7 linked regions of the Oryza sativa Japonica Group genome follow. The protein of the gene in region 6 binds, or shares a complex with, the protein of the main gene of each other region. Links are inferred from orthologs where the notes say so. Each region holds a gene or a part of one and is shown on either strand. Other genes may lie near its edges.

Region 1 (4,414 bases), on a different chromosome or scaffold from region 6:
GCAATAACTCACCACATCGCACTCGGTACATTTTATAGTCCCCATTCCCCTACCCCTCATGCGCATGCTAGGTATGTATATTTTGCATGTACATGCATTATCATCGTCACATATTCTTCAATCTTCATTAACCAAGCCTTTCTAAACTCATTGGGAAGGTATCACCTTAAATTGCATTATTTTCTTATCTTACTGTTGGATTGTGAATAGTGAGGTACTGACCACCAAGGAAGCATATTGTGGCAGTTGAATGAAGTGGTTAAAAGGGGTTATCTTTCTAAGAGGTGGCGTGTGGAACCACAGCCGGTCATTTTCCCAATAGAGAGGTTTTAACATTTTAGCCACAACACAGGACATCCTCAACTTATGCAACTGGTTTTTTTATATGGTTAACCAAAAATAGAGATAATTTGCCACCTATGTTCCTAGTGTGGTAAACATGTCTATAACGATCGACGATACTATTATTTCAGTTCAGTAATATAACTGATCAATGGATGCTGTTGGGAACAAGGGTGATTGCTGATGCCAAATTGCCAAACCATCTCACATTCTCACCATTTCAGGTAAAAAGGATCTCATCTCTTGCACTTGCATGGCAATACTAGAGCTGAGAAATAATCATACATAACTTTTTGAGCTGCATGCCTAAGGAAATCAATTTCAACAACTGTATATGCTCCTAGTTTTGCTAGAATATAAGTACAAACCAAAACAATTAATTGCTTGCTGTGTACTGCTCTAATCTGTAGTTTACTATACATATATACAATAGGTAGTATACCTGGACTACTATTGTATAGTATTGTACTAGTACAAATGTACAATAAAACCAAAAAGATGCACACACCGTGCAGTTTTCAACTCACTCAGGGTCCTCTTGCACTTACTTGACCTTGAGTGCAACTTTGTCACCTTCAATGTAGAGCTTCAAGGCGGTGATCACCTACCCCGGCAAGTCGGCGGGGCTCTCATCACCTCCGTTGTGTCGACATACCTCGCCATCCTCTGCACCGGGAGAGGCACCGGCAGGCCTTTGGGGAAGATGCCGGAGTTCCCCTCACCTTCTTCCCCCGCCGGCGGCGGTCGGCGCCGCATGCTGAACAACGCCGACAACAAGCCGGATTTGCATGGCACGATGAACGACCCATACTATTACGATTGCCGGATCTTGGTGGATGCCACGCCGGAGAAGTCCAGCCGCAAGAAGAGCACATTCGTGAGGCACTTCTCCTGCACCTCCAGCCACGCCCTCGTCAAGATTGCTGCCGCAATCGTCGATCCGCGTGCCGTTGTACTGCACGGGCGCGGTGCGCACGTGCGACAACAACGTCAACTCGCGTAGCCGGCTTGTTCTTCTTGCCTTCTGGGAAGAGCCGAATGAGCGGGCCTGTTTGGATTAATTGGGCTGGATGTTGATTTGGATCGTTGTGGTTGTCTTTTGTTGGATCGGACTGGGTTGGGCTTACAAAAATGCGGTTTGGTTTGGGCTGGATGCAGGCTGACTAGAAAGTTGATCCATGGGTTGTTTTTCTTTTATTTTTTATCAGAACCGCACGGTGAGCAAGGAGGTGGTGGGGCCACGGGGGAGCGGGGGCACTCCAGGTCGAGGGCGGAGCGAACTGACCCGACCACCACCGCCCCCTTCTTCTCCGGTTCAAACCGGCGGCAAGTCGCCGACCTCTTCCGCCGCCCACCGAGCCGCTTCTCCGGTGAGCCCCTCTAAGCCCTCCCGACTCCGCCGATTTAGACCGGGCTACACTAGAAAGGGTACCCACGCCGGCGTAGTTGGGTCTCCGACTCGTTGCTGCCCTAGTCGTCGATCTCCCCGTCCCCTCGCGGCGCGAGCTTGCCCGCCGCCTGGCCCGGAGCAGCGGCGTCCGTCGTCCTGCTGCTTCCGCCGCATCCTCGCTCGCCGGTGAGCACCCGCGCGCGCATCCTCTTTCTCATAGCTCTCTCTACCCACGCCTTTTCTGCTCGCTTTAACCTTAGCTTCACTTCTAGATCCGGGAACTTCTCTCTTTGCATTAAAACCATAGTACTAGTAACAGCTTGCTTCAAAAAAATTGGGGGTTCAACTGAATCCCCGTGCCCCACCCTGCTGTTTGCACCCGGTTCTCTGCAGCTTGGTTGGGGAGGAAGACTGTGGCTGTGTTGCAATGCGAATTTGGCTTGTTCGCAGATGTTATTAGGATGGTGGACTTCAGTAGATTATGTGAGTAGGCTAAAGCCTAAAGGGAAGGTCGTTCTATCATTGTGATGTGTTTGGAGGGGCTTGACTTAAATAGGTAGCTTCCAGATCAAGTAGTTTCTATATGCAGTAGGTCATGGAAGCTTAAATCATGCATGAAAGTTACACCTCACACGAGGCAGAGGTAGGGAGTTTGGAAATATATACCTTGTTCCATGTGTTAGTAATTGCTCATGTGGAGCAAAGATATTGAGGCTCTGCCATTTGTCACATCTTCCATTGAAAGCAATTGCTTATTTCAATGACACCTAAGCATGAAAACTGAAGATCTTATCCCCTTTGCAATTTGTGCATTGGGAATAAACAATTCTCAGCCACTGCATGACCATTAAGAACATTTGCATTTCTCGTTGAACCATTTTGTGTTTACTGTTTACCATTTGCCCCATCTCATGCTTCTTAAGCGTATGATATTGCAATATGACTTGTTCCAGCTCATTAGATCTGGAGTGCAAAATTTAGAGTAATAGGCCCCCTCTATCTGCATGTCACACACATCTGATATTACTCTTTCTTGTATGTATGTAGAACCTTAGTTCCATTTGTTATACAGATGGAATCCAAACTTATTATATCTCATTTCACAGATAGAGGTACATGTTGCATGCCTCATCTTATAGGCTTGTACTTTCCAGGCTGAAACTCCGGTAATCGCATAAACCAACAGAATATGTGGACAAACATCTTCAAGCTTGTAAGTCAGATATCTCACTCCTGTTTCCCCTTATGTTCTATTCAGTTTATGTTGGGCCTCTATTTACAACATGGGAATCCGGTATCTTCCTCCATTTTATTCACATCACGAATGCAATCTTTCCAGTCTTGCTTATAATGTCATTGGGAGTTTTGTTCTATATTGGTCTTGGCAGTAGATAAAATTGTTTTGATTTCATTTCTTTGGTACATATTATTTTTTCAGATGTTTTTGGGATGCTAATTAGAGACCCTCGGTGCTATGTTTACTCTTGCATAGGATATTTGAAGGTTGACATATTTGATCGTAGTCACTTTTACCTATTTCTGATAGAAAAAGGTTGAACTATTTTGTTGTTTGATCCATTTTTTGAGGGGACAGCATCAAGGAAAGCCCTAATAAAGCAATAAACCTTTTTAAATGAAAACAACTTGAGAAAGTTAAAAAAGAACAGGACAAGCTGCTCAACCTGTCAACCAACAACATCCACTCAATTTCGACAGCTGATTTCATGAGTTTCACAGTGACTCCAACTTGCTCTAGATTGTAGGAGCATCTTTCTCCATCTGAAGCAATAAGAAGTATCTCCTTGGAAGGTTTATCTTATCCTGTCCAGCCAACAATGTAACTGCCAAGTGTAACAACTCTCTAAAGAAATCTCTAATAGTCCATGCCATCGGTCTTGCATGTGTCAAAAAGGTCCAAATTCCATTGACCCATTCATACTGTTTCAGTCCCCCCAGACACAGAATCTTGTTGCCTGGCTAGTGTGAGGGTAGCCACTTTCTATAGTAATGTATGGGATTTGTGACATGAGTACTATATGCTTGCATAAATATGATACCTCAACTTTCGCAATTATACAGTGACAAAAGTAATGGCAAAAAAGGATCATGGAGATCTTTAAGAATAATGGCCAGATAAATTTACAGCTTAGGCCTCGAGATCCTTCACAAATTGTTTTCCCTGGCACCTTGTGTCCTATCAAACTTTCTGTTTGTTGCACTGGTATACCTTAAATAAATTCTTTTGCAATAAAAAGCTCATAAAAGGAAATAAAATAACGGAACCCCTGGCTAGAGATTTTAGATAGTACATCTGCCAAATGTCAGAACTGAACGCAGGTGAGAGTTGTTACCGACTAGGATGCCACAGTTTGATTTTTGGGTAGGTCTGCCAGAGTCAGGTAGGGCTAACTTTGCAATTTTTCAGATAGGATTTGTGTGTTTCATTTTCTTTTTGTTTATTGTGTAGAAAATTTGATTGTCCACAATCATGAATCATATATAGTCTTTTAATCTTAATTTATATGTTTGGCCTTTATAGGGGGAGCTCCAAAATGTATCGTGGTTTCAGTTTCTTCCTGTTGAACCAGATCCAAGTACAGCTTCTGAGAGAAGGTGTTCTTGGCCTTTTGTGATGTCTTCTAGTTGCCTTTGTCACTCTTTACTTATGTTCTGATGCATTGA
Region 2 (4,178 bases), on a different chromosome or scaffold from region 6:
GCACAAATTGTCAATCAAAATTGAGTAAACATATTCATCCACCACCACTCCTGTCTGTTCCAGTTTCCTCACTATAGAAAAAGCATCATCCAACCTGTTTCTCTTGCAGAAACCACCAATCAATGATGTATAAGTGATCAAATTCGGCTTAGCATCCCTTCGGTTCATCTCATCCAAGAATCCCATCACTTTTTCCACACTACGTTCTCTGCAAAGTCCATCAATAACAGTAGTATAACTAACTACATCAGCTGCAATGCCCTTATCTAACATCACCCGATGCTCACGGAGCCCTTTCATCAATAACCCGCTACTCATGTATCCATGAACCAAGCTGCCATATAAAACAGCATCACCAACCAACCCCTTCCCTTCCATCTCCCTTACCAATTGTGCTGCCTCAGTAGTTCTCCCTACACGGCCAAGCACATCGACAAAAGCGGTTAATGTGATCAAGCCTGGCTCAAATCCATTGAACTCTCTCCTCACCCTCCTATAGAATTCCAGCCCATCCCCAGCCTTCCCGACCTTGGAGAAGCCTGAAATGATCACGCTGCAAACACGATCATCCACCTGACACCCCGCTGCAGCCATTACGTCGAACACCTTGAGCGCGGTCTCCATGTCACCGCGGGCACACAGCATCGTCAGGGCCACACGATACGTGGACGGAGAAAACACGAGCCCGCACTCCTCTACGCCGGCGGAGAGCACCTCCAGCGCGCGGCGAGCATCGCCGCGCACCGCGCAGGCCCGGCGGAGCAGCGCGTCCCAGAGGCGGCGCGCGGAGGAGGTTGCCGGGCCGGCGAGCGCGAGGCGCGCTGCCGCGTCGCGCGGACGGGAAGAATCTAGAAGCGCCGAGGCGACCAGGAGGTGGGTGCGCGCGGTGGGGCGCACGGAGTTGGCGACCGCCTGCGAGGCGAGCGCGCCGACGAGGCGGTGCCTCCGCCGGCGGAGGAGCGCCGCCAGTAGGATGTCCACGCGGCGCGGCGTGACGGCCCTTCCGAGCTTGACCAGCGACGGGAGCGGCGGTGGTGGTCGGGGCTCGCCGCCGGCGAGCGGCATGGCGGAGGGTGGTGGTGGTGGCGCCGCCGCCGCGTGGGAAGCGAAGCGCAAACGTTCGAAACGTTGGAAGCCGATGGCGTGGGCCGAATTTGGATACGAGCTTGTTTGGATCTGGGCCTGAATAGATATGGGCTTGTATTGGTTCTGGGCCTGTTTGGATATGGGCTTATTTAGGTGAGGCGTTTCGAGTCGGAAGCGAGAAGGGGAGAAGAGGAAGATGCAGCAAGCGCAGGCGTCGGCGGTGGTGGCCGCGCCGGTGGCGGCGGCGGCGGCGGCGGCGGCGGGGGCGACGGGGCACCAGCACGAGGGGGCGAGGGGTGACGCGCCGCCGAAGCAGGTGGCGCAGGCGATGGAGCGGCTGGGGCGGGCGGGGCGGCTCATCGCGGACATCCGGCTGGGCGCGGACCGTCTGCTCGAGGCGCTCTTCGTCGCCGGCGACGCGCCCCCGCACAGCGCCCCGCAGCACGTTGAGAAGACCGCGCTCGCCGTCGCCCAGGAGGAGGCCGCCATGCACCGCCACTTCGACGACCTCCGCGCGCTCGGGAGGTAAACCCATCTCCGCCCCGTGCCCCCACACTCTCCGATTCAGAAGTTTTTCATCGATTCCTTAACCTTTGACTGTTACGTCGCAAAATACAACTAATTCCCTCCGAGAAGAACCATTCCCGTCATGATTCCACGGTTGCAGTCTCAAAATGAAAAAGGAACATTCCCGTCATGATACCACGGTTGCAGTCTCAAAATGAAAAAGAAATATTCCCGTCATGATACCACGGTTGCAGTCTCAAGAAGAAAAAGGAAAACCCTTGTCTAGATAATTTCTGGAAATTGGTGGCTGGGATATTGATTTAACTTCTTTGGATTGTATGATTGGACTTTTTTTAAAGTAATAATCTCCTTCCCAGTTTAGGCATGGCAGCACATTTTTTTTCCACTAAATTGTTCTGTAATAATGGTTAATCACCATAAACTGATGCCACACTCTTCTTTGGTGTTATCCAATTGCTTGTATCTTGTGAAACCCTTCTACCTATGAAACCTTGCTACGAGAGATGCACGGACAGGCTTAACTGCTCAACTTTGGTATATGAACTTTAGCATTCTAGAATATTGGCTGGGTGCCTGGGTCTATCAGATTGGGATGCATTTCTGGAACTCGTGTTCCTTGGCTTGTAATAGAGCAATATTTAACCTTAATTGAACAGCTTCAGCTTGAACTTGTTTTGGGGCTGTTTGGATCAGGGACTAAAATTTTAGTCCCGGTCACATCAGATGTTTAACACTAATTAGAAGTATTAAACGTAGATTAATGAAAAAATCCATTTCATAACCTTGAATTAATTCGCGAGACAAATCTATTGAGCCTAATTAATCCATGATTAGCCTATGTGATGCTACAGTACACATGTGCTAATTATGGATTAATTAGGTTTAAAAAAATTGTCTCGCGAATTAGCTCTCATTTATGCAATTAATTTTATTATTAGTCTACGTTAAATACTTCTAATTAGTATCCAAACATGCGATGTGACAGGGACTAAAATTTAGTCCCTGGATCCAAACACCACCTTAGTGCCACTCAGGGCTCGAACTAGTTTTAGTATCACTCGTGGATGGTAAGGATGTAGGGTAGGTGCTCACTCTATAATATTGTCTCAGCAGAGCAGTTATGTGTTGGGTACAATTGTTTACATGTGACCACTTGACCAGTCGTTTGTTGAAGAAGTCTGCAGGCATTTGGAAAATCCATGTTTCATGGCAACATGGTACTATTCTGTCTGATGAATAAAATGTCCAAGCAATATGAACTGCTTGTTAAACGATGGTTTTTGAGTCTTTCTGCAACCTGAAGTTGCTAGATAAACGGAAGATGAAATTTGCAGGTGATATAGTTATGATTTTAGACAGAATAGTTAGTTTGTGAAAATCCTGAAGTTAGGAGTACTAGATAAGCTTAAGCCATGTGACTGAGATTTTTTTAAGTCAAAGGATATTAGGAGCCATCTTCAATAAAGTTAGGTATGTGAACAGGATGGATTCACTCGATTTTGCTGGTGCTTTCTTATTGTTCTTTCACAGTATTCTTGTTATAGTGTTTGGGTTAGTTGTGCTTGTTGCTATTCATGATGTTTTTACTTTGTGATGAACCATCAATCATTGCTTACACAGTTCTCCTGGTAAGTTCCAATTATTTTTATTGAACTTCAAGTTTCAAGTTCCACTATTTCTTCATAAGTGTTGGCCTAGCCAACTGAAAGTAAAGATCTAGTTTTTAAACTGTAGCCTAATAAATATCTTGTATCCATTGCTGTTAGGAAGGCAATTGGAAGAGTCTGGAGTTCTAAATGGAGCCCTTAAAGCCAGAGGCAATTCATGGGGCTTGCACATGCCACTTGTTTGTCCAGATGGTGCAGTTGTGGCATATGCTTGGAAGCGTCAGCTGGCTGGTCAGGCTGGTGCATCAGCTGTTGACAGAACTAGGTAATTTCATTACCATCATTGTTGTGTTGTATGTTTGCTGCCACAATATGATGTGCTTATTTGTCTTATTTATATTCTGTTGATGTGTGAGATTTCATCAACCGTGCATTGCAGAATGCAGATTAAATATTTATACCATGTTATTTCTTCCTGCGATATACGATAATTTTCTTGGCCGATAAATTTGTACTGTTGTTTCCCTCTTTCCCCTTTAAATTTGTACTGTTGTTTCCCTCTTTCCCCTTTTTCCCTTATTTCTCCTTTTTCCCTCTTTTGTTTCTTCTTTTGCACTTTGCTTTCTCTAATCCTTCTACTATGATAATTACATTCTTCCAAGGTGTGGAGTGCTTTTGTAGGAATTGAAGTATTAGATCAGTTCTTGTTTTCGTTGCATCCATATTTTATTTTGATTTTACACAGAATGCATCGGAAATATTCCAACGCCCTTCATTCATGTGCTTCTTTAGATGTATGTACTTATGTTGAAGGCTTCAAGCCTTCGGATCATCCCCTAGTCCCCATGACAAGATACCCGAAGTTTATTACTATTTACAAAAATGGGTTACTATACTAAACTTAACAGCTATCAGCCACATGCGATTGTACCTAGTGGCCTGGCCTCACCTTTTTTA
Region 3 (4,137 bases), on a different chromosome or scaffold from region 6:
CCCCTATGATGCTTCAGATGCTCTTCTGTCAGTACCCAGGGTTCAAGGAAGTCAGAATGGTTGAAGCAAAGCCTGGGATTGCTTTCGTGGAGTACGGCGACGAGGGGCAGGCTACCGCTGCCATGAACCATCTTCAGGGGTTCAAAATTACGAAAGATAACCAGATGCTTATCTCGTATGCGAAGAAGTAAATGTACTATTGACTTGCTCGATGAATGTTGTAGTCCCAAGTTTTCGCATAATCCATAGATTTTCATTGTTAGGTAGACTACACCATGACAACCATGTTAATGTACTACTGCTCAGCTGCCCGTGTGTGTTTCAGGAATGAGATGAAATTTGAACCATCTTTGCAGTCGTGAGTTCTCCTAGTTAGTTCCACTCGTGTTCCCTTGTGTAAAATATGGCAGCTTGAGACGATTTACATTTATGCTATTGCTGTTAGCCTCGTTAAAATATTTACCATCTCATAGTCATACTTGTGTAGTTGTGTCACCATGGTCACCTGACAGCAACTGTGGGATTCAATTACCATTAAATCATTAATATGTTGAAAGAAACATCTAAAATGACAAGTGAGGCAATTAGACAATTCCATTGAACACACATGTTATCATACACTCCTATAATCGGGAAAAAGATGTTGCTCCGAAAAATCTAAAAGTTTAACATGTTAGGCATGCCTAACACGATGAGATGGAGAGCACACGAGAAACTACGAACAATAATATTATGATAAACCGAACATAGCAACGAACATTAATACAGCGCAATTTGTTCGTCTTCGGCAAACTGGTCAGATCCTAAAACATTGTTGTGGTGTTTTTTTTTTCCTGGCTGGCGTACTCAAAATCTCCAAGGCATAGCCCAGCACTGGGCTACTCAGGTTGATCATCGGAAGGAGCCTGGGACATTTCATGGAAGACAGTGGTGTCACACTCTTTCGAGTTCAGTAACATGCTTTCCCAGCTGGTCCTTCAGCTCTTTCTGCCACCCTTCGATGAGCTTCTTATGTTTGTCGATGAGCTCGGACTTGGTCTTCAGCTCTTCCTCCATTATAGCAATATCCTGCAAACCGAAACTGGACATGTTAAAACATGATGACACATTATTATTTGATTATTACAGCTTGGGGACCACGCCATATAGGATTTCTCTTGATTTCTCCCATGAAGCTTATAGAGAAAAATCGATGCACAATTTTTTTTTTACAACGGTTGCAATATAACATCAATATAATTGATTTCAAAGAGAGGGTCAAATGGATTTTATACAACCAATCTAGATAGCTTTAAACTTATTGATGGGCCAAATATTAAAAACCATTGGATCTCAAGCACTCTAAAATGTTGAGCACAACGAGTACTAACACAGAAAAAAAACTTCAATTAGACATCTCAGAGAATTAGTGCTAACAATACGGGACTGATTTAGAGCTGGCCCAGTCAATTCAAGACTGTAAAAGAGACAAACTCAAGCCCTTATCTTTGAAAATTGAATATTTTTTAGACCTTTTCCCTCGCCATCCCCAAGCTCTCAGCCTCCCATGTCTGTGTACTCTGGTGTCAAATCGTTACTCTGTGCTTACCCAACCTAGGGCATGTTTGAGGGAGCTTTTGGCAGCTGCAGCTTTTCCTAAAATTAAAAGCTCACTCAAACAGTTCAGCTTTTCATCTAGATTCTGAGAAGATGTAGTTAAAGAATACAGAAAATAAACTAGAAACAAGAAACCTAACTTTCCAGCTTCTTCATATTCTCATAAACTGACTACCAACCAATTGCTTCTCAAAATCTTAAGCTCCCCCAAACAAGGTCCTAGTTCTACCTACAGGCTAATTTGCTAATCACAAAGTTCTAATTTGCTAATCATTTCGAAGTCAAGGAGTACCTTTCGAAGCAAAGTTGTTCCGAAAGCAATGCAATGTACCTTTCGAAGCATTTCTTCTGTCGACGGTCGGTCCTCGCGCTGCAGGCTGATGAAGTAAGACTGGAGCTTCTTCGCAGCCTCCATGAAATCCCTCGCGTGCCTCTCAACATCAACTGTTCCACATTATAACAACCACAACACCTTAGAATCCCTATTTTGCTAACCAGCAACAAAGCAAAAGAATCCAATTTCTACATCGACAGTTGAGCACACAGATGTAGAACGCTCAAATGCCACCCTCTCAATCTCATCTCAGCACCCGCGAGACGCCCGCGTACCAACAGCGCAAGTAAAAAGAAAAAATAACTTCGCCACATTTTGCTAGAGCACGAGGGGCTTCCTAATCCCCACCTCGTAGGCAAAACAGCGAACACCTGGCGGGCGGGCGAGTCGAACCAAACCAGCCGCGCCAAATCTTGGCCGGGGGAAGCGCAAGAACGACGGGGAAGGGAGGCTGCAGAGGGAGGAGAGAGGGGGAGCGGCGGGGTCAGTCTCAGTGAGTCCGACGTACTCTGGTGGGAGGATTGGAGGGAGCGGTCGACGGCCTGGAGCTCGCGCGCGGGGAGGCAGGGCAGCAGCGCCGCCTCCAGCGCCGCCACGCAGGCCATCATGTCGTCGCGCGCGCTCTCCCCGGGCCCCTGCTGCTGCTGCTGCGCCGCCTGCGGCGGCGTCTGCGCCGGCGACTGCGACGGCGGCTCGGCCATGAGAGCGAGAGACGAGAGAGAGAGAGGTGGGGATCGCAAAATTGCAATGAAACCCTTCTTCCAAAAACTACTAGAAAATGGGTGCGCCTGGCGCACCTACTAAGGCTGTGTTCAGAGGAGGGGCTTGGGAACCCCTCCTCCTGCCACGCAAAACGAAGTTTATTTTATTGCATGATTAATTAAGTATTATCTAATTTTATTTTAAAAAATAGATTAATATGATTTTTTTAAACAACTTCTATATATAAAGTTTTTTTATAAATCACACCGTTTAGCAGTTTGAAAAGCGTACACGTGGAAAACAAGATAGGTGGGTTGGGAAAATGGGGGGAAGAACATAGCTTAAAAGTACCCTGTAAATATTTATACCTTTGTTAGGATGTATAAATGTTTTAGAGTTATTTAGACTTAGTTTGATTTATTAGATATATAGATATATATACATATATATATATATATACATATATATATATATATATATAATGATATTTATGATATTTCTATTTGGAAAATAAATCTGGAATTCTATTTGGGAAAAATTCTAGGTCTATAAATATTTTTTTCTAAGTTAATTGTCTGAGTTTGAATAAAATGCACCAATATATAAAATAATAAATAAATGCAATAAAGACATATTTCATGATGAATCTAATTAAACTAATTTGGTGTTACAGATTTTGTATTTTTTTTTATAAAGCCAACCGGTGTTAGAGAAGTTTAACTGAAAGATAAACTTAGATTACAATATGAACATATGGAGTCAGTGAATTTCCGTTGTATTTTAGAAAAAAGAAACATGAAATGCTAATATTTTTTTTCCTATGCATATTGTTTAAGTCCCATTTATCTTTATGTTTGTGTATTTAATCTTGTGTTAAACATCAAATATGGCAACATATATTGCTTGACTTCGTGACTTTCTGATTTTTTTACTGTAGCATAAAAGTGAACACACTTCTTTGCTGCTCGACACGTATGCATGCGGTTGTCATAAATACATCTAATTAATCGATCAGTGATAGTCACAATTAACTTAATGTTATCGGTAGATATTTCTTTTATTGATGTAATATACTCCTTAGTTGATTATAAGTTATAGCAGAATCTAATATAGCATTAGGTTAGGTTGGTGCCATTTTGGGGAGTACGACCGATGTACCCAGTCGGCTAGTCAATTGGTCTAATCTATACTTCTTCAAAAAAAAAAACGGAGATATGTCATATAGTGAATATGTCATCATACCTACCCTCATTGTAAATTTTGTAAGTTGCCCCTTAAATTTCTTAATATTTAAAAGATCAAATCTAAATTGATAGTCAAATAAAAAAATGATTAGGTAGTGTTTGAATCTCCTGAAGATGAAGATTAAGTGTTTCACGCAAAACGAGGTGATAATAACATGTGATTAATTAAATTTTAATTATTACAAATTTGAAAAATGAATTAATCTGATATTTTAGAACAACTTTCATATAGAAAGTTTTCGTACGAAACACACTGTTTAG
Region 4 (3,639 bases), on a different chromosome or scaffold from region 6:
GCATAATTCCTGCACACCTAGGAGCAAAGCTTATGATGAAAGCTATCTGGAGGCTGTTTGAATCGTAGTCGGTTTGGAACATAAAAACAGCAAAATACTGCTGTAAATACTGTAAATTCCATACATGGCATGGTTAATCTGTGGCATATCATGCCTCATCCTCATGCATGAATAGGTTGTGGTTTACAAATAGCTTATCATTCAAAAAGGTTTGCAACATCATTTGCCCATATTAAGTCTATAGCCAAAAAAAGGAAAACGAGATTAGCAAATTGAACTGAAACTGTGGACCAGGAAATCAAAAGAACATGAAACACAGTATACCTGGATGCTTAAAAGTAGAGCTGGGTCAACAGTCATTTTGTCAGGCCCAATGCTAGATAACATGTCACTGGAAGCTTGCCACGGTTCAGGTAGCAGAGTTGATGGATTTATCAGGGCAGACTCAATTCCCTTGCCAAGCATATCCAGAAGCAATCTTGCTTGCATGTCCAACACAAGTGCTCTGACATCTTGAGCATTTGTTCCTTCCAACAATCTACACTTTATCCTATCAAGATTCTGCAATAAGTAAAATAGACTAATCAGTAACAGAAGAAAGCAATAGCCTTGCAACTTCAAGTCCTCAAAATCTGAAGTAAAAGGTAAACACACAATTAGAAAAACAAATCTTGTCCAACTCACAAATTACAATATATTGCATTATGAATAAAGTAGCAAACTACATACTACCGTAAATGGTCTCTGACCAATACATCCAGAGATATAATTTATGTTCATAGAAAAGTTTGGCAAGCTTCATGCTAAAATGTTCATTCAGAACTGCAAAGCAGTGCTAGTGACTTGTCACAAGAATACTAAAAAACTATGTCCAGGAAAGAAAAGGAAAAAAGTCATCTTGATTATATTTTGATTCGTATCCCCCTTTCAACTACTGGTGGAATAAAGACTGGTGATTGGTGAATGTACAATCTTTAAGAACCCAAAAAGATATTGTGACATGCATGTCACATAGTAATGGCAGTAGGCAGTAGATGATGAAAAATTGAAGGCCTGTGCTTAAAACTGCACATAATGTACTAAAAGCACAGCACACTTACAGGACAGTGTTGTTGCCTCTGTTGTATAGTTGGAAGACAATGGAAGTCCGCGTCCAGCAAAGCTATCACACTGTTCAGTGAGACTGGAAGGAAAAGCAAGAGATTTAGTTTATCATGGACAAATATAAATGTTACAGGTGCTGAAATAGTTAACCAACCATATGTAGAAAATGATGAAACTTACTGAAAAGTTCTGTATCAGCTTAAAAAGATGTATTGCAACTCACACCAGGAAATAATGTTAACATATTGAGACATCCAAATGGGAAAAATGAAGCAAAACACAATTCATCATACTGCAGATGCACAATGCTTTCAAATTGGGAGCATAAATGTGCAATCAGCTCTAAAGTCTTAACATTATAAACAACCAAACAGAGATTTGCTTGGTTACACTGTTCTTAATTACTCCCTCCGTTTCACAATGTAAGTCATTCTAACATTTTCCACATTCATATTGATGTTAATGAATCTAGACATATATATCTATCTAGATTCATTAACATCAATATGAATGTGGAAAAAGCTAGAATGACTTACATTATGAAACGGAGGAAGTATATACTTTAAGAGGTTGAGTGACAGTTGTGGAAATTCTACCGTGTAGCAGATAATCCCTACTTTTCTAATTGTGTGGACAGCTAGAACACAATTGAAATGCAAATACTATACACAAATTTTAAATTGCATCTGCATAAGCATCCTTACCAATACCATCTTCAGCAGCACTTTGTGTGCAGCCAACAGCATCCCACCAATCCACACCAGCCAATAGACTCCACCAAAATCTGCTAAAAAGATCGCAGTTATAAAAAAAAACATTTTCAACAAATAAATCATTTCAATCAACCTCTGTTAACTTGGGTGGATACCTATCTGCTATTGCTCGTTCCCAAACAGCTGAGCTAACCTTTGTCTGAGCATTAAGAATTGCAGGAGGAAGCACACGTATTATCTTTAGTATGGTTCGATCTTTGAGTGTGTCATGCCATACTGATGCCAAGCAACAACCACTGGAGGAGAAGGCTGGTGGAGCAATTGCTGAGCCAACATTGACATGATAGCTATCAACCTGTTCAAAGTTTGGACCTGAAAAAATGTGCACACCTCCACGCAGGAATGCAACTGCAACCTCACCACCATGAGCAGAATAAACTATTTGGGCCAATTGTCTGACATCATTTGGAAGATCATAAGGGTCAAAGCTAAGTCGGTTCGCCCTGTCAACACTGCACTCAGAAGAACTCCGCTCATCTGAAGTTGTTGGCATTGGAACATATGATTGAGGGTTCTTAAGGTCCTCAGATGGTGGGATGCTTTTGTTAACTCTTGTGGACCAAACAGTCTGTGTAGGTGGCTGTCCACCAAAGTTTGCAGGGCTTCCAAATATTGGATGAAGAACAACAGGTTGGACTGAAGATTCCCAGCACTGGACTCTCCATCCAGTGATGGAAGGTCCTTCATCAGGATCATAAGGAGACATGTACTGCCCTGGAAGTATGTGGTTTAACAATTGTCAGAAAAAATAAATAAGCATTAGCCAAGAGCCTAAGATCAACCGATTCACTTAATAAATTTCAGAGACCCCAAAAGTCCTTAAAAGAATATGCATATAGCATTTACAGACAAGAACTTTTATTACCATGGCACAAGCTACCAGAGCAAATCAAAGAAACAACAAAAGCAACTAAAGGGAGCTAAAACATGTATAAGCATGCTCTGGACATACATAGTTAGATTAACTCTCCTACTATTAAAGCTGTTGGATGATCATAGGATTAGTGTGGTGATTATGAATGGCATTGATGTTCATGCCATTCATCAGAAACAAATAGTCATAGTGAGATGTGACAATTGCATCATACTAATTCATTTCCCAGGTGTCATATACGCACCTTCAACTATTACAACTGTAATAACTGATCCCCCTCGAGTGGGATCAAAAGCAACTGAGGTAACCCCAGATCCCCATGTTGTGGTAGTGGCTGACTGGGCAGCAGCTTCAGGACTGACGTAAGCTGAAAAGTTGGAAACTGGACAACAATGGATCGATGCTACCTCAGTGGTCTCATTATCTACCTGTGCCTGTTTTTTTGTCTGTGCGCCCTCGGAAACAAGGTAGTCTTGCAAAGAGAAGAGGTAAGATGCAAGTGGAGCAAAACCAGCCCAGAGTGGGGGATTTAGTGATGGAGGAAGAGAGCTTGTTGCATTTATCTTTGCAGTTGCCTGAATACCATTGCCAAGGCCTGGCATCACCTCCCAAACCACTACAGTAGATGGATTAACAAGGGGAACACCAGCAACATGTAATGCTCCAGTTTCAGTAATAATAGCATCAGCAGCCATTATGCCGCTTGGCCCTGCTCCTAAAAGCCCTTTGCTAGTAGAAAACCATCTAGGTTGTGCTGAGTTTTGAGAAGGCCATTGTGACCAATGAAGCTGAACAGAACCCGATGAAAAAACTGAACAGACACATAGAATGTTTGGCCACCCAGCTGCAGTAAACAGCAATATGTCAGAGTAGCGTAAAGAAGCATGC
Region 5 (4,212 bases), on a different chromosome or scaffold from region 6:
TTCGCCTGCTCGGAGAGCGACTGCGCCGCCATCCAGGGCACCGGCGGATGCTCCTTCCCCGACGACGATGGCAGCCTGCCGACGCGGGCGTCGGTCACCATGAACGCTTACTACCAGGCCAGGGGGAGGAACTCATGGAATTGCTTCTTCAACGGCACTGGCCTCATCACCATCACTGATCCCAGTAAGTATTAGCCTCTTCAAAGCTTGCTTCACTTGCTGTTTCTTTCACCTGAATCCTGCAAATTTACATGGCTTTCTTGCCAACCTTTGCAGGTTCTGGCAATTGCAAGTATGCCTGAGTTGAGAGTTTGCTCCAAGTTAGCCAGCCAATCTCTGGAGCTTGACAAATAAAGTTTTCAAGGGATGTTTTGTTTGTCCAAGTGCCCCTAGAAAATATGGTGTTCTATATTTCAGTGTCAGAGTTGCTAGAATTCAAGTCATGTTTAGCCTCAATGTTTGGGTAATCTTTAGAGAGGAATGCTTTATACCGAGATAATATTGTTCCATATCTTCAGTGCAGTTCTTCAAAGTTCAAAGAGTATGAATCCTAGGCATGTCTTAATTGTATTTGCATAGCACTATATGGTCCTGTGCTGCTGTGAACGAACAGTGGCCCAACTATAATAAATAAACATGAAGTTATGCTCAAATTATTTCAGATTAAACGAACCAGCTTGAAACTATTCAAGTTACTGTAAATTACAGTGCTAGGTTTAATTCCTAATCCAACAAGTACTACTGGAATATTGTTGAGCATCAGCTAACTTGATACTAAAACTGAGTCTACATGTAGCATCGGCAGCTGGCATTCACATCTCCACCTTCATCTGTTCATGACTCCAAAATGGGTTCCGTTACCTGATATGACAGGAAAGCAAACATAAGTCATTTTAGTGATACTACGATCATACGTAACAACACTGTGTTGGAATTTTCTGATCAACAGAAAGACAAGCCCCCAGAGGGTTTTATGAAAGCATCTTGCGAGGGATTAATATAACAGGTCAACATCCACCATAATTATGTTTTGTTCAGGCCATCATCGTACATAAACTACATAAACCAATAATTGATCATGGACATGATGCCAACAGCCATCTAGTAAATGGTGCATGTAGAATATTGTACTGCAAAAAGCACCATAAGAACAAAATTGTTATCAGTATCCTGACTTCCTGATAATACAGTGTACCAAGTTTGGGAAGTCAAGCGGATTATACAGCTGGTCACAAAATAATCCCATATCATAAGCGCAAGCATAATTTTTTGCAAGCACAAAAAAAGCTAAAGATTTATTGAGATAGTGAAGGGAGAAATCCAAACTTACATTGATAACTATTACTCTGGCTTCTTCAAGTTTATACAATGATCTGTAGCTTCATTAAAAAGAGCCTCAACTTGCTTCAGCTCCAGCTCTACAAAAGCAACAAGACATGTAAAACACTGGACTTGTAAATAATCAGTTGTAACATGGTGAGGAATTATATAATGAAGGCAAAATATTCCAAGAATGTAATAGCAAAGCATACCAGCAGCTTCCAGTTGTTTCTGAAGCTCTGTGCCTACAACTTCATTCTCTGCCTGCGCATTTCAAATTCATAAGCATTTTAGCTGCAGGACACAAGTATCATGAATACTGATACTATGGCAGGACATGCTGCCGAGCGTCTGCTAAACCTTCATTCAGAAGAAAGCAAGCGACTAAGGAGGACAACCTTAGTATGAAACTCCATCCACAAGGCGTAGGAAAAAAAAAACAGAAGGAAACATGCACAAAGATACCATCTTCACAAGACACTAGCTTAATGTCACCCTTTCACAATGTACTGCTCAGAGGGCAAAACTGAGACATACCTGTAGCTCTTTAATTCTTTTCAGCTGATCCTCTTCAGATGATAGTGGCAACGCAGAAACAAGAGCATCAAACTGCATAAAAAAACCAAAAAAAAAAGAGAACGGTATTGGAAACAGTAGCTAGTAGCACATTTCAAGTGTACTCTCAGATGCAAAGTTTGCCCTCTGGAGACAGAGGTTGGTGTGCTGCATACCATCATCCCACCTACATTTTGCGAGGAACAGTACAAAGATTGGTGTGATCCACATCATCGTCAACCCTTCTTTGCGAGGAATAATATGAGTGAAGCTCCTATTTTGCAGATCCATTCAAAATTATCTCGAGAGGGCTAAAAAACAGCACAATGCAACTAAAGTACTCTACCACACTACATGAACAATCTCACTATAGAAGATATGATTCTGTAAGTAGAAGAATTTTCAAAGAACCAGGCACCCTGACCGTGGTTGCAATCACACAAAAATGCTAAGGCTGGTCACACCAAAAATTACAGTCCAAGCCCTAAAGCGTCAGACCCCAAGAACCAGCAGGCACTCAGGCATTTCATCGAGCAGGTGGCAAGCAGAGAAGATAAGCGACGGAAGACGCGTACCTTCTTGGCGGCGAGGACGAGCGCGTGGCTCATGGCCTTGGGATGCTCGGCGAGGTCGAGCGCGGGCGGCTGGGCCTGCGCCGGCGGAGCCTGTGCCTGCGCAGCCGGAGCTCCCGCCGCCGCCGCCGCCGCCGCTCCAGGCTGCGGCTGGGCGGGGTCGTCGGGGTTAGGGTTTGCTGCTGCGGCGGCGGCGGGGTTGAGCGGGTCCGGGTAGTTGTTGGAGAGGCGGACCGGCGGCGCGTCCCGCTGCAGCGTCCCGAAGGTGTTCACCGCCACCATCGCCATCTCGTTCAGCTGCTCCTGCAGCTGCGAGATGATGTCCATCTCCGGCGATCTCGTCCCCCTCCTCGCCGCCGGCGACCTCCTCCTCCTCCTCTTCTCCCTCTCCTTCTCTCTCCTCCTCCTCTCTATCCACCAAGGCCCAATTACATCTAGGCCCATCAAAGAAAACTGGTGGGCCCAGCACATCGACAGTGCGCAAGCCACTCTCTGACTGGCACGTGGGCCCATGGCTAGCTTGATTACGAAGGAACCAAGGGACCCCACGCGGAAAATTGCATCACATCACCACCACGCGTCCAGATCTGATCCACACACAAATGGATCGGACGGCCCAGGATTAAACCAAACTATTACTAACAATTAACTCACCCGATTAGTTAACACTAATTGAATCGGACTTGGACTCTAATCTAGACTAATATAAAAAGCACGAGTTGTTTAGTGTAATTAACACCATGATTGCAATTAGCGCCGGATTAATCCTGCGGTTACAATTAGCACCGGATTAACACCGCGTCTTGCTCCGAAAAAAGAAACTGCACGCCAAAAAGAACGAAAAAAAGAACGCACGCCAGCCACGCCGCCCGCCTCACCTGCCGCCCGCGTGACTTCCCACCTCGCCTCACCCGACCATGCCAGGCCTCGCCGCCGCCGACAATGTGACTTCCCACCTCGCCTCACCCGACCATGCCGGGCCTCGCCGCCGCCGCCGACCATGAGCCTCACCCGCCGCCCGCGTGACTTCCCACCTTGCCTCACCCGACCATGCCGGGCCTCGCCGCCGCCGACCATGAGCGAACTCCACGAGCAGCGCCAGCGACCGACCCACGCTGCCCGGATCGGAGGCGAAGGACAACAGCCCGGGGCCGCCTTCATCGACGCCGTGCGCGCCCAGTCGATCCACGGGAGCGCGGCCGCGGCCGCAGAGGCGGCGGGGGAGCGGTAGGTGATGACGTGGACGCGGCTCCTCGTGCTACCGGCGAGCGGGACAGGAGGAGGAGGAGGAGCGCGAGGGCGGACGCGGCGGCCGCGGCCACGGAGGGAGCCTATCATGGAGGAAATGGTCTGAGGAGGAGGAGGAGCTAGGGTTGTCGCAGCCTCTTCAATGGTGATCTCCTGCAGGAGGCGAACGGGAGCAAGTATCAGCAGCAGAAGCTGGGTGGTGTGCCCTCGTCGCAGCCGCATCATCTGAATGTGAGTGACTCCACAAGAACGAGAACCCTGAATTGAATCTGACATTTACCATTGTTCTTGCATCATTCATCCAGTGGTAACGTTTTACATGTCTTGGATTGTTGGATGACATTGATTTCAACACTGGAAAATTGTTGTTTTTTGCTTCGGGACAGCAGCAAGTTACCCCAGCATTGACAGCCTGCAGATCGACCACAAGCCGGCGACTGCGGCGGGACGCCAGTTCGGCTCGGCCTCCTCTCCTCCTCCTCCGCCGCCGCCGCCTCCGAACCATCCCCAACGTCAT
Region 6 (3,639 bases):
TATTTGCTGTAACTTCTTCGGGTGAAAACTCTCTCAAAACACGGGCCTGCAGTAAGATTAAAAAGACATATATACATAGAGAGAATCTTTTATGTCAATATAATTGCTAATTAGAAATCATACAAGATTTGCACTGTTGATCTCTAGATGTCCGTTCATCAGCATCCAAGCACCAGCACAAAGATATTGACGATGCTGAGGGAAACTGTGACTTAAATATGTCATAACATAGGTTGGCTCAGCAGATGGTGAGAGTAGCTGATTACATTGATTAATAACAGTTGTCTCAGCCTGCAATGGAAGATAAATCATCAAGCATAAAAGGTAAGGAATATTTTGCCCTAGAAAAGCATTTCATTTAATAAGCATGTTATAGCAACTAAAGGACACCAGAAATAGTACTGGCTTGGAAATTCAAGACTTTTCGAGATCTTACAATTTTCTAAAACTAGTCTTGCTATACTGCTAATCTAAGCCTATTTCAAAACAAGACTGCAATTTTTATCTTAGCCAGCTAATACCATTCTAGAGGTGAAAGAATTCATTGCCGTTTGTAATAGTAATAGTACATAAAAAAGTGTAAAATCCATCAGTACATTCTCCATCAATAGACTGCTTATAAAAGAGTGATTACATGGTTTTAAAAAAATCAACTAACAGCAGCATGATTTGGCAACAACTGATACAAAAGAACTATAAACTCCCTAAATTGTTATTCGACGAATGTATATGAACTCCATATAATAGTCAAAAGGAGCATATAAATGGCCAAGACACCAAGTACTCAATCCAAAAGATAAGATAATAGTACCTGCTGCCATGCTTGGATAGCTTGGCCTCTCTTATCCATCCTCCCCATTAAAAAATCTCGAATAAGGGGAGGAAAATATCTTAGAGTCTTCTCTGACCATGTATGCTGGCTCGTTGCCATAATTTGCTCTAATAATGGTTGAAGATGAATTATATGTTCGACCTCAGCAATTCCACGTGTCTTCATGGTGATAGCAAGGCTTATTATCGTTATGCGGTTAAGTGTTTCAGTAAACTCAGTTGGACCCTACATTTACATAAATAAAGAAGTTCACTTTATGCGAATTTAGTAACAGGTGAAATTTCCAGATGAAGCAGGTTACCTTCAATTCTTTTTTCACCAAAAAGAAGTCTCTTAGTGAGAGAATCAAATTCATGCACAAATTTTCTGCTAATCTAAAAAGACGATGCTCTCCACGTTTGACTTTAATCATTGATATTATCTTTGTAACATCATACATCAATGCCTTGCTTTTCCCATGATACCTGAGCAGAAGAAATTCACATAGATGTAAACCAAAAGGTGCACCATAATATAAACAATAAATGGAACAAAACACTAAGATTTTTTCTAAATGATCATCAAACCTTTTTTGCTGAGGTCAGACATTCCAATTGTGGATATGCATGATAAGAAAAGGCTTTCAAGGCAAATAGCAGAAAACAAATATTAAATTACTTAAATTACCTGTATAGAGGAAGTAGCCTGTAATTCAGTATCTCAAGTAGGAGCAGAGACACACCAGATTTGCTCAGGATAGATGGAGATCTTTGTGTTAATGTCTGCAAGGTTTAATAAAACCATAGGAAGACATCAGAGTTTAAAAAGGAATATGAATTGCATGTTATTGAGGAAACTGAATTATGCTTACAATTGCAGAAAGTTAATTTAGAAATCAGAGCAAATGAATAATCAACTGTTAATCACAAGGTAGCATAAAGCCATAAACTTCACATGAATACTACAGATTACAACAGGAGGCAAGACTTACCGTAAAATGCGGGCGGAACAATGAATGAGGGGTTATAAGCAGCAGTCTAACATAGGTTTCCACTATAGCAATGCTAGGAACATTCTACCAAAGAACAGAAGAATTATGTAAGAAAATTAGTGTATGGTAAAGAGAGATGGACATTAGTACGTCAACAGAAGAACATATAGTTGTGATTATATGGGCACTTCTAGCAAAGTCATTCCGAAGATCAAAAATGATGAGCTGGTCATATACCATTAACATATAAAGTTATAAATCATTCATATATTACAGCTAAGTTCATTAACATGAGCTATTATGCCAGGAGATCTTAATAGATAAAAGATAAACATATGAATTGCTTGTCATTTTATTTTTACTCAGGATAGATTGTAACATATTGATTCTGATGTTTTTCAGTAATAATTAAAGGCACATGAGCACTGGTCTCCAAACCATAAAGAGCAGAGTTAAAAAAATAATAATAAAGATAAGCAGCAACAGTGTTTTTACCTGGCCAAGAAATATGGTCTCTTCAAGCTGGAAAGCAAGTTTCAAACATAGATTGATAGACAACCCAGAAAGCAATGACATAGACAGTGGATAAGTTTCACGCATCATTGTCATTCTTTCATTTGGCTGCAAATTGGGTCCCTGAATTAAATCTGCTACTCCTACTGATGTAAACCAGTTCATGACTGCTTCACATGCTGGTTGTGCCATGGTGAAGGAGAGAACCCAAAACATGCCCATCGCCCGCTCATCCAAGCTCGTAAAATCTATCATCCTCTCCCCAGAAGCTATTATTGCAAGGGAAACAGTAACAAAGCTTTATTACAGATACATGAATGGGGACAAAATTGAAAATAACAGTAATGGTTTACAGCCAAATATCTCTCTTTTCAAGAAAATGTATCCACCTCCTGAATTATGAGTTGTGGTGTTACTATGTAGAATTTTCTACACTTAATCAGTCCATATTGCCTACCCAGAATCTACCGGAGAATTTCTTTTCCATGAATTCTAGATCTACCAGGCAATATTTTATATCAAAAGCATAGTGATACTTTCATATTCCATGAATAAGGACAAGTACCAAGTACCTTTTGTCATTTGTCTCCACCACTCATCTATCTGTTTGCCTTTCTGAAGCTGATCACTGTTCAAATGCTCTCTAATTGAAGTGTTGAAAGACCAAATCCGCAAAGTTTGGCTGCTACTTATGAAATCAAGAAGAATACTTTGAGGACTGATATTATTTGGATCAAGGCTCTTGTCTTCTTTGTGGAACGAAATTATCTTCCTTGTAGTTTCAACCTGGTAACAGAAGAAATACCAGAATGGTATATAGAGTTATAGACGGTAAATTAAGACAACCACAAGACATCATGAAAGGAAACATTAGAAGTATTACCAAAAGTTTGTATGTATTTAAAGTTTTATAGCAATTGGATGTGAGATTAGTTTAGCTGAGTTTGTCGATCGCTGTTATTACTTGTTAGTCCTTGCAGTTCCCAAAAGATGAGCACGAAACAAAATAAAGCACTCTGAATATTTTCATGAGGAAATCTTTTTTTGGTACCAAAATCATGTCATCAACTAATCAATTGAATATGATTCACCAAAAGAAAGAGGTGTTTGCAGATGATCTTAGAAAGAGACATCACCTTCCTTGGGTCCGAACTAAGGGTGTTCATCACAATCTCAATGCGGATAATCTGTGCGAGTAACCAAGTGACATGATTACTGCGAAGAATCTGTTGATCACTATTTGTTACTCGAGATGCAAGCTTGTCCACGAAATCAAGAAAATCAATACAGCCACTTTTCATCAGAAAGAAAAAAATGTCAGCAA
Region 7 (4,132 bases), on a different chromosome or scaffold from region 6:
ATGCTGCTGGGGTGAAGGGGTGTTCATCATATTGGTCCCTGACCTAGGGGAGTTTGCATATGGCATTGGAGGAGTAGATACATTTTCAAAATTAGGCGTTCCTGTAGCTCCAGGTGATGGAGCAGGTCTGCCAAGTAACTGTCCTCCAGACACCTGCTATTAGAATGAAGGCCCAAATTTGAACATCAAGATAGAAACATCAAAGGCCTGCATGAGGTCAGGTTGGTGATTGCTCTTATGAAATGCAATTGTCTTAATAATAGTTCAAGGGAAAGCATTCTAACCAACACTTAATACAGTTGATCATAGAAAGGAATACCAATATACCATTACAAATTATATGGCAAATTGATACACGGGAAACAAAACATCTGCCTTTTGTAACTTTTTTTGCTTTCAGCCCAACTAGCAATAATATGGACATATTCTATTAATTTCGTAATGGTCAAAGCTGTTATTACTGGCACTAGACAAACCTGCATTGGATTTCCCTGGGCGTTGACAACATTAGGTACAAATGTTGAGGTATTTTTGGGGTACACACCTGCAAGTATAGACTCTAGTTATATGCTTTTGTTGAAGCATTGTGTGACATACAGACTGCACAAATGGCAACACTAAGGGTAGCAGCAAGTTATTGATTATTTTTATATAAAAAAACATCTAGAGCAGATGAACAACTCATTGATGCTATAGTTCCAATGCTCAAAACAAGGAGTGAACCATGGAGAATTGTAGGTATGTCACAGAAACAGACCAGAATTATCACCAAAATTATGTGCCCCATCTCCAAAAGGAAGTACGTCCACTAAATGGCTAGGAAGAGATGAATACATCTGCCTTTGGTCTCCCGGTACACGCAATCCTGGATAATCAGACTAAATCATCATGGACTATAAACAATGAAATTGTTACATAAAAGGAGAAGCTTATGCTAAAATTAAATTCAAAGTAATTTTTAAACTGATAGCTATATTAATACACCATTAATGCTTATCACCTTCACCATAATTTACCGCTGCTCTAAGTAGGCCTTCCTGCTCCTGTATCTTTGCAGCCTGTGCCTTGTCCAATGTAGGACCAAGATTTGCCCCCTGACGGGCTCCTAGACCATAATTCTTGCGACTTTCAGCAATTACTTTCTCAGCTGTTTCACATGCACTTCCAATCATATCTATCCTAGTCTGAAAGGAATAGCAGCAAGTCCCATTAAAATTAACAGATAATGAAAAGATCACGCAGGTATAATAAGCTACATAGGTTTGCATTTTCCAGACAGAAATAATCACCTTTAACTTTTCAATTTGTCCAGAAACTGTTAGATTCGTTATTCCAGACAACAAGTTGTCCCTCTTTGTAGCTTCTTCAGCTTCCATCTCAGGTAACAGCTTTGACGACAGCATTACAGGCAGTACTGCAGTACTCACGAATATCAAACAGGACTAACGATGTGGTAAAACTAGAAGCAGATGAACATGGGAACACAAATTGCGATGCATCCCAACCATATACAGCAACCGTGACCAATTAGCATCTTGTTAGGTCATTTTTAGATTCCTATCACACTTATCCCAGAAATAGGAAAGTGTTGACAAAAATGGCTACCCATGCTACATTAGGAATATCTTTACCAATTTACCCTAGGATAAAATTCGTTTAACTAAAGCCAATTAGCCATATCAGCCTGAAGTTTAATCTCAATATTTAAACCAAAGGAATAACTATTGCTAGGAAGTGAGAAAGGTCAACAATTGGTTCTTCATGTGTAAAACAACTCGTAAAAGAAATGACATGTATATATATGAACTACTCATTACCAAATGCAGCATAACCATAATATCTCATATATCCTTGTTGCTCATAACAGAAATCACATAGTATATTTCTTGGTTCTCATAACAGGTGACCTGTCTTCTCATCTGGCTTTGGGCACCATTGAACATGAGAAGACTCTGTTTGGTAAGGTCATGGAATCAAAAGTGGTCTGCTTAGCTGGGTAGCGTGTAACAGCTGCCCAAGGCAATATTTTGTGAAGGTTTGAACTACGCAGAGCAATTCCATTCTACATTATGTTCATGTATTCTTCTTCCCACAAACTTTATGCTTGTGGATCTACCTAACTAGTGTGGTTATTACTGATATAGCGATCGATTGGTGACACAAGAGAAGAGAAGTGGAACAGCAAGCATACTGGCAGCGTTTTCGGCATTAACGTTTCGGGGGTAGACCACAAACACCTTGGACACCTTCTTGATGTCCTCCACGATATTGAAGAGCTCCATGCTCACCATCGAGAATTGCCCAAGCACATCCTGCCTGCCATACACGCACCACGGCACGAATCAGCATTGCATAAACCCTAGAAAGGGGAAGCTGAATCCTCTACAGAGTCCAGCGGGCGATCGGGGGATGGGGGAATGGAGGTGAGGCAAGTACTACCACTTGGGGGAGGCGTTGGGGTTGGCGCGGGCGATGGCGTCGAAGTCCTCGAGGATGCGGGAGATGGCCTTGTACAGGCCCACGGCGCGCGCCCGCATCCCCTCCAGGTTCAGCTGCTGCTGCACCCCGGCGCTGAGCCGCTCCGTCCGTGGCTGCTGGTCCCCTCCTACGGGCGCCGCCGGGTTCGGCGCCCCGGCGGCCGCCCCTAGCGCCGCCGCGTCCATCCGAGCTCGCCGGATCTGCTGCGTGGAGGAGCTCGCGGGAGTTGGGGGGCTTCACAGGAGGCGGAGATGGCTTCACGCCGGCGGCGGAGGCGGCGGAGATGGGCCGTCGGAGTTAGTAGGGCGGCGCCGGAGAATTTGAGTGTTGGAGAGAGGGAGACCGCGAGATGAGGACGGGAGGGGGAGGTGGTTTTTCCCCGTTTTCACGAAAACCGGTAAAATCGGCTCAAAGTTTGTTAAAGAAAAAAAGAAAAGGTTCGCTTTGAATATTTTTTTTCAATAAAAACTTACCAAAGAAAACCGAGCAATTTGTGTTGTCCTGTAAACCATGGGATACGAGCGAAATAGACAACAAGCCTTGTTTAGTATCCGGAATTACTTCATAGTAATAGGATACGTTCCATTTCATGTTATGTTGCTTTATATTGAGACGAATGAAGTAGATTAATTTATATATTTCACGAGGAAATTTTTTGATTTTTTAACCGTTAGATTCGCTCCAATATTCATGTAACTGGGGATGGGAAAAATGAATTTTCTTGGAAGAAACACTTCTGATGCTATGATAGCATGGTTTTTTAATGTAGTTACATATAGTTAATATAATTTTATTATAAGTAGTGAAGTCGTATAAGTTGTAATGGGAAGTACTAAATTTATGACAAACATTACATGATTAGAGTTCATTTTATGACATGTTCTATTTTTTGTCAATTAGCTCCAACATAAACTCATGTTTTGAGCAAACCCCAAACATCAATATTTTGGTCCCATGTTATCTCCTTCTACTATTGCATAGGCCAATTTCATACTACCCCTTATAAGGTTTTAATCCAACCCAGACATAGCGTTGTATGTACTACAAACAACAATAAATTATAGTAGAGTATTCTTGCTTGTGAACACTGAAATCATATCATTTAACTCCTTATATCTTAAATCTCAAGTTTTGTTGCTTTCCATAAAATTGAGGACAATGCTAACAGTAGGAGCTAAGATCATGGTACTATTTGTTACTTTTTTTAAGTAAAATATATGGCCGGTCTCTAAACTTGTGTTGTGCTGTTACTTAGGTTCATGAACTTGAAAATTACACGTTTAGGTCCGTGAACTTGGTTTAGGCTGTGTTTAGATCCAAAGTTTAGATCCAAACTTCAGTCCTTTTCCATCACATCAACTTGTTATACACACACAACTTTTCAGTCACATCATCTCCAATTTCAACCAAAATCCAAACTTTGCGCTGAACTAAACACAGCCTTAATGTATCACCTTGGTCCAAACGTCCTTTGGCTGTGTTTGACCGCCAACGTGGCATGCCACGTAGGCAACACTTTCGCTCTCAGCTCCCTCCGCGTCACAACACGTCGCATATATCTCCTTGTAGCTATATTGTGACACCAGAATCCCAAAAAAGAAATCCTCAAATCGCTTTTCCCTCTCATTCTTCTCCCTACATGTACAGAAAATAC

What was found.
Region 1: mediator of RNA polymerase II transcription subunit 23 (region 6) and mediator of RNA polymerase II transcription subunit 13 share a complex: the UniProt entries of both Arabidopsis thaliana proteins name them as parts of the mediator complex. The link is inferred for Oryza sativa Japonica Group from reciprocal best matches to the Arabidopsis thaliana genes AT1G23230 and GCT.
Region 2: mediator of RNA polymerase II transcription subunit 23 (region 6) and mediator of RNA polymerase II transcription subunit 27 share a complex: the UniProt entries of both Arabidopsis thaliana proteins name them as parts of the mediator complex. The link is inferred for Oryza sativa Japonica Group from reciprocal best matches to the Arabidopsis thaliana genes AT1G23230 and AT3G09180.
Region 3: mediator of RNA polymerase II transcription subunit 23 (region 6) and mediator of RNA polymerase II transcription subunit 28 share a complex: the UniProt entries of both Arabidopsis thaliana proteins name them as parts of the mediator complex. The link is inferred for Oryza sativa Japonica Group from reciprocal best matches to the Arabidopsis thaliana genes AT1G23230 and AT3G52860.
Region 4: mediator of RNA polymerase II transcription subunit 23 (region 6) and mediator of RNA polymerase II transcription subunit 16 share a complex: the UniProt entries of both Arabidopsis thaliana proteins name them as parts of the mediator complex. The link is inferred for Oryza sativa Japonica Group from reciprocal best matches to the Arabidopsis thaliana genes AT1G23230 and SFR6.
Region 5: mediator of RNA polymerase II transcription subunit 23 (region 6) and mediator of RNA polymerase II transcription subunit 21 share a complex: the UniProt entries of both Arabidopsis thaliana proteins name them as parts of the mediator complex. The link is inferred for Oryza sativa Japonica Group from reciprocal best matches to the Arabidopsis thaliana genes AT1G23230 and MED21.
Region 7: mediator of RNA polymerase II transcription subunit 23 (region 6) and mediator of RNA polymerase II transcription subunit 8 share a complex: the UniProt entries of both Arabidopsis thaliana proteins name them as parts of the mediator complex. The link is inferred for Oryza sativa Japonica Group from reciprocal best matches to the Arabidopsis thaliana genes AT1G23230 and MED8.

Annotation. Positions count from the first base shown.
Region 1 is NC_089039.1:22,068,061-22,072,474, reverse strand, and holds the start of mediator of RNA polymerase II transcription subunit 13, read left to right. Parts: upstream 1-1,573; 5' UTR 1,574-1,712; exon of another isoform or gene 1,713-1,918; intron 1,919-2,838; exon of another isoform or gene 2,839-2,886; 5' UTR 2,887-2,921; coding exon 2,922-2,945; intron 2,946-4,271; coding exon 4,272-4,345; intron 4,346-4,414. UniProt on the Arabidopsis thaliana protein: Component of the Mediator complex, a coactivator involved in the regulated transcription of nearly all RNA polymerase II-dependent genes.
Region 2 is NC_089035.1:8,936,695-8,940,872, forward strand, and holds the start of mediator of RNA polymerase II transcription subunit 27, read left to right. Parts: upstream 1-1,257; 5' UTR 1,258-1,282; coding exon 1,283-1,611; intron 1,612-3,384; coding exon 3,385-3,546; intron 3,547-4,178. Other genes in the region: pentatricopeptide repeat-containing protein At5g57250, mitochondrial, read right to left, coding at 1-1,065. UniProt on the Arabidopsis thaliana protein: Component of the Mediator complex, a coactivator involved in the regulated transcription of nearly all RNA polymerase II-dependent genes.
Region 3 is NC_089039.1:3,232,238-3,236,374, forward strand, and holds mediator of RNA polymerase II transcription subunit 28, read right to left. Parts: upstream 2,704-4,137; 5' UTR 2,632-2,703; coding exon 2,439-2,631; intron 2,041-2,438; coding exon 1,928-2,040; intron 1,069-1,927; coding exon 934-1,068; 3' UTR 577-933; downstream 1-576. Other genes in the region: U1 small nuclear ribonucleoprotein A, read left to right, coding at 1-191. UniProt on the Arabidopsis thaliana protein: Component of the Mediator complex, a coactivator involved in the regulated transcription of nearly all RNA polymerase II-dependent genes.
Region 4 is NC_089044.1:19,711,357-19,714,995, reverse strand, and holds part of mediator of RNA polymerase II transcription subunit 16, read right to left. Parts: intron 3,596-3,639; coding exon 2,996-3,595; intron 2,592-2,995; coding exon 1,973-2,591; intron 1,889-1,972; coding exon 1,809-1,888; intron 1,184-1,808; coding exon 1,101-1,183; intron 562-1,100; coding exon 325-561; intron 1-324. UniProt on the Arabidopsis thaliana protein: Component of the Mediator complex, a coactivator involved in the regulated transcription of nearly all RNA polymerase II-dependent genes.
Region 5 is NC_089042.1:2,024,881-2,029,092, forward strand, and holds mediator of RNA polymerase II transcription subunit 21, read right to left. Parts: upstream 2,890-4,212; 5' UTR 2,775-2,889; coding exon 2,451-2,774; intron 2,150-2,450; exon of another isoform or gene 2,067-2,149; intron 1,930-2,066; coding exon 1,858-1,929; intron 1,585-1,857; coding exon 1,533-1,584; intron 1,419-1,532; coding exon 1,342-1,418; 3' UTR 1,331-1,341; intron 862-1,330; 3' UTR 628-861; downstream 1-627. Other genes in the region: major pollen allergen Ole e 10, read left to right, coding at 1-184, 277-302. UniProt on the Arabidopsis thaliana protein: Component of the Mediator complex, a coactivator involved in the regulated transcription of nearly all RNA polymerase II-dependent genes.
Region 6 is NC_089036.1:31,041,849-31,045,487, forward strand, and holds part of mediator of RNA polymerase II transcription subunit 23, read right to left. Parts: coding exon 3,452-3,639; intron 3,102-3,451; coding exon 2,888-3,101; intron 2,585-2,887; coding exon 2,298-2,584; intron 1,887-2,297; coding exon 1,803-1,886; intron 1,594-1,802; coding exon 1,499-1,593; intron 1,297-1,498; coding exon 1,134-1,296; intron 1,058-1,133; coding exon 812-1,057; intron 292-811; coding exon 124-291; intron 47-123; coding exon 1-46. UniProt on the Arabidopsis thaliana protein: Component of the Mediator complex, a coactivator involved in the regulated transcription of nearly all RNA polymerase II-dependent genes.
Region 7 is NC_089037.1:18,123,777-18,127,908, reverse strand, and holds the start of mediator of RNA polymerase II transcription subunit 8, read right to left. Parts: upstream 2,836-4,132; 5' UTR 2,664-2,835; coding exon 2,440-2,663; intron 2,317-2,439; coding exon 2,192-2,316; intron 1,415-2,191; coding exon 1,290-1,414; intron 1,185-1,289; coding exon 1,001-1,184; intron 866-1,000; coding exon 758-865; intron 545-757; coding exon 477-544; intron 157-476; coding exon 1-156. UniProt on the Arabidopsis thaliana protein: Component of the Mediator complex, a coactivator involved in the regulated transcription of nearly all RNA polymerase II-dependent genes.